Cricetulus griseus: one gene and its partner. The protein of the gene in region 1 interacts with the protein of each later gene in a biochemical or structural test. Links are inferred from orthologs where the notes say so. Each region holds a gene or a part of one and is shown on either strand. Other genes may lie near its edges.

Region 1 (3,824 bases):
CCCACACTCCTCAGCTCTTGAATTGTGACTGTACCTAAATATCCCATATCTCCCTTCAAGTCACATATGGCTAACCAAGTTTTAAATAAATATCTTCCTGAAGCACACCATTCATTTAAAATTTAATTCCTTTTTACCCAATAACACTGAATGTTTTCTTTTCAGGACTGATAGAGTCAAAATTGTCTTTCCCATGTGCTTGTTTAACTTGACACAGCTTATTCACAGCACACATGTGCCCTTCCCCCACTCTTTCCCTTCTGTAAGAAAAATCACATTTTCCCCTTGTTTGTTTGCCCTGTCTGTTCTTTTCATCAGGCCAGCTCATGTACTTCTTGAGTTGAAAGCAGGGTGTTCCATATACCAGGCTGATCTCAAAGTCACTCTGTGGCTGAGATCAGCCTTAAACACAGGATTCTTCTGCCTCTATCTCCCAAGTGCTGGGATTATAGTCATGGGTCCACTACACCCAGCTGTAGATTATATTTTAAGGACTTTAAAAATAGACACTCCTAACTTGGATTGAAATAAAGTATTTTGTAAATTAGTGAACCAACAAAAGTTGAAGAATTTTCCATGTACTCACTGAAAAATTGATCTATACAAGCTCAAAGGATGGAGGGGGGGAAGAGGATGAAGAAAAGGAGGAGGATTCCCTAGAGGTAGTAAGCATCCAGGAGATCATTTAAATACATTCCTAGTTACATTCAAAAAATGCAAATGAAATGAACTCATCAACAGTGCTGGGCAGGGTACCACTAGAGGCTGTGTTCTAGTGACTGTCTTCCTGCAGCTGTTGGCCTACTGATTTTCACTTGATGTTGTCAAGGTCCCTTACTTGTAATCCCCAATAAAACTATGCTTGTCTACTGATGATTAAATTTTTGATAAGACTTTTTTCTTTTTTTCCTTCCTTCCTTCCTTCCTTCCTTTCTTCCTTCCTTTCTTTCTTTCTTTATTTTATTTTTTATTTTTTATTTTTTATTTTTTGCACATCTTGCCATATAGCTCCAACAAATTTTCATCCCTGGGATGACTTCAAAAATTTGGACTTCTTGTGTTGCTTTGACTGTTCTTGCCTGCCTTCTAGTGTGAGTTTGTATCAGTAATTGAAAGGCTGAGCAGGGAGTTGAGTGACCTTTTAGATGGAGAAAGGCACTAAGCACTCCTCTGGGATGGTACCCTGTGGCCCACTGAAGATGGATCAGTTTAAAATTTTATTAAGATTTTGTTTACATCTAAGGTTATGTAAACTTTCCCCAAAGGAAGTTATGGGATCTTGTTCTCCAGTCTCAGTAAGAAAGCTTTATGGGGTTCATGAGTAGCTTCCAACACTAGTGTGATAGAGCCCTTAGATCCAGGAGTCTGTTGCCAGAATTGCCTGTCTGTGAACAGAACTCCATGCTTAGCACAGAGGGCTGTGGTCTGGGTTTATTTGGGCAGGATCCTTGATGCAGCTGAGGGGTGCCTTCACTTAAATACATTTTTAGTTGGACGGTTTTTCTTGTGGGGGGGTGTTCTTCACCTACTAGTAGATTTCTTCTGCAGTTGCTTTTTGGGAAAGGTCACTTTCTTTCCTGTGGACATTTTCTAGTTTTGAATTAATTATCCACTGACATTCCATGATGAAAGGGTTGGAAGGGCCAGTGCATATGAATTTGGGAAAAGCTTCATGGGTCTAACCAGAGGGTTTTTGCTCTGTGATTACTATTTGATATAGTGTCCTCATCTCTGGGGTCATTTACAACCCAAAAAAAAAAAAAAAAAAACCCACGTGTGTCCTTTTCAGCACCCTTACGTGTAAACCGTGAGTCTGAGAAGGAAGAAATGGATAGATAATAGAAGCAAGTGCTTGTAGGATCTATTGATTTGCTTTGGCTTTTTGAGACAAGGTCTCAAGTTATAGCATAGGTCAGCCTCCAACTCAGGGCAATCCTTTTGCCTCAGCTTCTGTGTGCTTGGATTGTAGACCTTGGCCACCATGTCTGTCTGCTTGGCATCACTGACTTCCAAGCAGTGGGGGTTGGGGGGTGTGGTAGGAAATGCAGCAGATATCATGGCTCTCATGTGTCAAATCAAAGTGGCAAAGTGAGATGACATAGAAGGCATAATGAAGGAAGCACCAGGGGACCCTGGGGAGAGGGATGATCTCTAGGTGCTGATTGATGAACCAAAGAGAAGCTGTTCTGAGAGGGAACGTGATGAAAAAAGACATGGAGGTCTCAGGATACATGCACAAAAACTTGACAGATTTATTAATTTTCTATTTTTTACAGTGCTGGGAGGTCAAACTCAGGGATTTGCCACAGAGTTACATCTCCAGCCTCGACTTCTAGTTTACACATACACACATTTAGATACATATGCAAACATTATATATATATATATATATATATATATATATATATATATATATATGCACACACGTACATATGAACGAATACACATATGTACACACATGTGCATATATACATGTACAGGCACACATATGTGCCTACACATACACTCAAATATGTGCAGGTGACTTTTGAATTGGTTGGCTGGGATTGCAACTGTGTGGTAGTGTACTTGCTTAGCATGTATAAGTCCCTGAGTCCAATCCCCAGAAACACATATGCACTCATATGTATGGGTGCTTTTGAGTGTGCGTGCGTGTGTTTGTGCATGTGCACACGAGAACACACACACACACACACACACACAGACACACACACACAGACACACAGACACACAGACACACAGACACACACACACACACACACACACACACACACACAATCACTCGGGTGTCCAGATGTACTATATTAGGAGTTTTTCTGTATAGACTGATATAATGTCTCCCTCTTTGTGTCACTTCTTTACTTCTCTTTGAAATTCCAGTCTGATGTTATCACAGCAGACATGGTGTAATCTCTCCTTCTCTGCCTTCCTCTTCTCCTTCCTTCTTTTCCTTCTCCCTCCCCTTCCTTTTTCTGAAACTACAGTCAGATGTTATCGTTGGGTGAGGTCATGTGGCTGCCACTTTAAATGGAGGTCAAAGTGCTCAGAACACTCCTCAACAGATCTGTAAAGACATAAAAGTTGCCCTTTCAAGACCTTTTGATGGTTCTGGGTTGCCATCTGTTTCTGCCCACACTTTAACTTCTTCCAATCTGCCTGTTATTGCAGGTAATGGGACTTCTGACCAACCACGGTGGGGTACCGCACCAGCCTCAGACCGACTATGCTCTCTCCCCTCTCACTGGGGGCCTGGAACCCACGACCACGGTGTCAGCCAGCTGCAGTCAGAGACTGGAACATATGAAGAATGTGGACAGTCTTCCCACATCTCAGCCCTATTGTCCCCCCACCTATAGCACCACAGGCTACAGTATGGACCCTGTCACAGGCTACCAGTATGGGCAGTATGGACAAAGTAAGCCTTGGACGTTCTAGGGGGTAGTTCCTCCTGGAAGGGAGAGAGATCACCTCTTGCCTGAGAAAGGGGACCTGGAAGTGTGATTAAGCCTTTCATCCCAGTATCAGTTTTGTGGCAAATCCAGCTAGCTGATGGCTACAGCTCAGGCTCCCTTGTGTAATTATTTTCTTAACTGATGTCAATAACATCTTGCAGTTATTAATTGCTGGGACATAAAGCCGGATTGTCAGTAGGTAAAACACAGAGGTTGGCCAAAATGAAATAACCTCTGGCATTAGAAACACATGTTCTTAATGAGGTCAGCGCCAGGATCATATGGGGATAAGCCCGGGACACAGAGTTGTGTCAAACTTGTCTCAGGAATAAAAATATTAGTCTCAATCCTTTGATACCGTGGTATTAAATA
Region 2 (3,142 bases), about 55 Mb from region 1:
CCCATTCCCACTCTAGAATCCTTGACTGAGTCCCTTTCGGGCAGACTCGGCCCTGGCTATGATTCAGACTGTGCCCACAGCAGTCCACCTGGGGCAGGGAAGGCAGGAGAGCCCTGATGGCTGTGGGCCCAGCCCCAGGGACGGGAGGTGGCAAAACAATACCAAGGAGCCAAGACTGTGTCAATAGGTGGTGGCTCCTTGGGCCCTGGATGGGGGTCCTCAGAGACACTGGAATGTGGGCTGGGCTGGGCCGGCCAGTTTCTCCAAGAGTCTAGACATCTTTCCCAAGCTCCTGATTCCAAGGACATAAGGAGCGTAGATGGTTGGTTAGACAGAAGTGGAAAACATTATAAGCACAGACTGAGGAGAGCGTGCCTGAGGTTGGGATCAATGCTCTTGAACACAGGTCCTGGGTGGTCATGTGAGTACTTGGCACACTAACCTTGGCTGCCATCTGGGGAGGAACCATTACATGCTGATCCATGGGATGTTTGGTGCTGCTTAACCTGTATGGAAAGTAGTCTGAGCCAGGAAACTAGGACTAGTTTGCATCTGAGCTCCTCCGACAGGGGCCTCATAGGCCTCTCCTTGCCCCACGTTGCACAGGCTCTTGGCCTAACAGGAGGGCACATATAACAGTAGCCAGTGTCCCACAAGGAGCTGCCCACTGGGCTGGGAACCAGCCTCTTTTTCCATCCACCTCTTCCAAACCCAGAGGCGGGTGGAAAGAAAGGGGGCAAATGAGTACTGAGCTGGGGTGGGGGTGGGGGCGACAGTGGAGAAGGGCAACCCTGAACGTAAGGACTTGTATAGGAGTGAAGGTTGGCTGTGGGGATGGGGTGGGGTGCATGAGGAGAGCTGCACAGTGTTGGCACAGAGGGGCTAAGATTGGAGCTGGCACCACAGCACCCCCAGGTTCCTGTTAGGGCTAACTGGGCACAATATAACGTGGGAGGTGATGGCAGGATCCAGTGTTACCATCTTGCCTCACTTCTGGTATGTGTGGCCCTCTCCCACATTCCTGGCCATTTTCTTGGTGATTTCAGATTGCCAGCCAGGAGGGGGACACTGAGGGGCGAGTGTCCAGTGTCACCGGCCACCCCAGGAGCATCTGTGCTGGGCCCATGCTGTCAGAACTGTACCACCCTGTTATGGGGTTCTTTCTAAGGCTGGGCCTTGGGGGTCTCCATCAATCCTGAAAGTCCACTGACCCTAATGGAGTCTGGCTTCACTAGAGGGTCCTTTGGGGAATGCCGGGAGGGTGCAGGGCGGACCAGGAGGCTAAGCTGCAAAGGAATGCTGCTGCTGGCTAGAAAGTGCCTGGTATAACCAGCCCGGAGAGGGGGCTTGGTCTTCTGTTGCCTAGGAGAAGAGGGCACCAATTGAGTGTCCCTTAAGTGTAAGAGTGGTCCCTGTGTCTGGAGTCTATGGATCTGTTCTTTCCCCTCTTTAAGATGCCCCACCCTGTCTTCCTTACCCTGGGGCAGGCAAGTCCTGGTACCCTCCACCCTTCAACTTTGACCTGAGCTGGAGTCATATGGGTGGGAGCACTGAAATGAGGGCTTCTCCATGCTGTGGGCTGGCCTCAGATTCCTCTACCCTCTGTCACTCCCGGGTCCCAGATATGGGATCTGTCTCTGGAAACAGTGCCCCCATATTGAAGGGGGCACACACCTAGAACTCAGTCCCACCATAGGGAAATTTCACCAAATCATGTTTTTTAGAGTTGAGGATCTACCCTTGGGCTCTCCTGTGCAACTCCTCCCCAAGCACCATTAGAGTAGCACCCATTTTCTCTAGGTTCCTCCCTCCCCAGGCCCAGGGCACTTCATATCTATATTTCTGGTGACCCCACCCCCAAGAGAAGTAGGTGAGACCATCCCCGCTTTGTAGGCAGAGAAGTAACTGAGCAAAGTCTAGCATACAGCTCGTAAGTAGCAGAGACTGGGTTCCTCTGCAGCCATGTGCTTCTCTCCACACCCCTCTAGGGTGTGGCTCACCCTTCCATGAGGTGGCCAGTTCTACTTGCATACACTTCAGTAACAGGAGCATTTCCCTCTCCTGAACCTGCCCTTTGTAACTCCTTTTTGACTGTGTGCTCAGAGACTGGCCCCTGGTGTCCTCTAGCCAATGAGAGGTAGGGGACAGAGATCACAACCACCTCAGGCTGGGACTCCTTGGTCTGGCATTTTTGGGGGCACTAACCATAGGGCACAGCCCTACCTTGGCTCTGCCTTCTGGGTGCCCCATCCCAGGAATGAAATTCCGATGGAAGCTCACCTGGGTGCCCCAGCACTCATGTTGGCTCTGGTGTGTCTTCCACCTCTAGGTTGCTGAACGAGAGTGACAAGCGCCCCTTCATTGAGGAGGCTGAGCGGCTCCGGATGCAACACAAGAAGGACCATCCGGACTACAAATACCAACCTCGGCGACGGAAGAATGGGAAGGCAGCCCAGGGGGAGGCAGAATGCCCAGGCGGGGAAGCTGAGCAAGGAGGGGCTGCTGCCATCCAGGCCCACTACAAGAGTGCCCACCTGGACCACCGGCACCCTGAAGAAGGCTCTCCCATGTCAGATGGGAACCCAGAGCACCCCTCAGGTGAGTGCTGGGTTGGGAGCTAGCAGTTTGCTGTTGGCAGAGCTGCAATGGGGCTGGAAGAAGCCAAGCAGTGGAGAGTTCCCTAGCCTGAGCTGGGATCTGGGAAGGGTTGGCCAGGGGTGCAGAGTACAGAACCCAGAGGCAGTTCAGTGGGGATTCTGGTAGCTTACAGTTAGGCAAGGTGTCTAGAGAGGGTCACTGGTGCTGGGAAAGGAAAGCCAGTTCAGAAAGCCATGGAGGCCATGAGGTGAGAAGCAGTTACAGGAAAAGGGCAGAGGGATGCATTTGAGAAACAAACAAAAATGACAGGTGGTGGCACACACCTTTAATCCCAGCAGAGGCAGAGGCAGAGGCAGGTGGATCTCTGTGAGTTAGAGGCCAGTCTGATCTACAAAGTGAGTTTCAGGACAGCCAGGGCTATGCAGAGAAACCCTGACTGGAAAAACCAGAAAGGTGCATGAGGGTGGGGGTGGCGGGGGGTGGGGGTGGTGGTGATCAACCGTGGATGGAGAGGAATCCTCTTCCAGCTCCTGCCCTAGGGTGA

What was found.
Region 2: the proteins of paired box protein Pax-3 (region 1) and Sox10 form a complex in vitro, tested with the Homo sapiens proteins (2 studies listed by BioGRID and IntAct). The link is inferred for Cricetulus griseus from reciprocal best matches to the Homo sapiens genes PAX3 and SOX10.

What each region holds. Positions count from the first base shown.
Region 1 is NC_048595.1:431,082,720-431,086,543, reverse strand, and holds part of paired box protein Pax-3, read left to right. Parts: intron 1-3,168; coding exon 3,169-3,415; intron 3,416-3,824. UniProt on the Homo sapiens protein: Transcription factor that may regulate cell proliferation, migration and apoptosis. Involved in neural development and myogenesis. Transcriptional activator of MITF, acting synergistically with SOX10.
Region 2 is NC_048595.1:376,276,906-376,280,047, reverse strand, and holds part of Sox10 (transcription factor SOX-10), read left to right. Parts: intron 1-2,329; coding exon 2,330-2,598; intron 2,599-3,142. UniProt on the Homo sapiens protein: Transcription factor that plays a central role in developing and mature glia.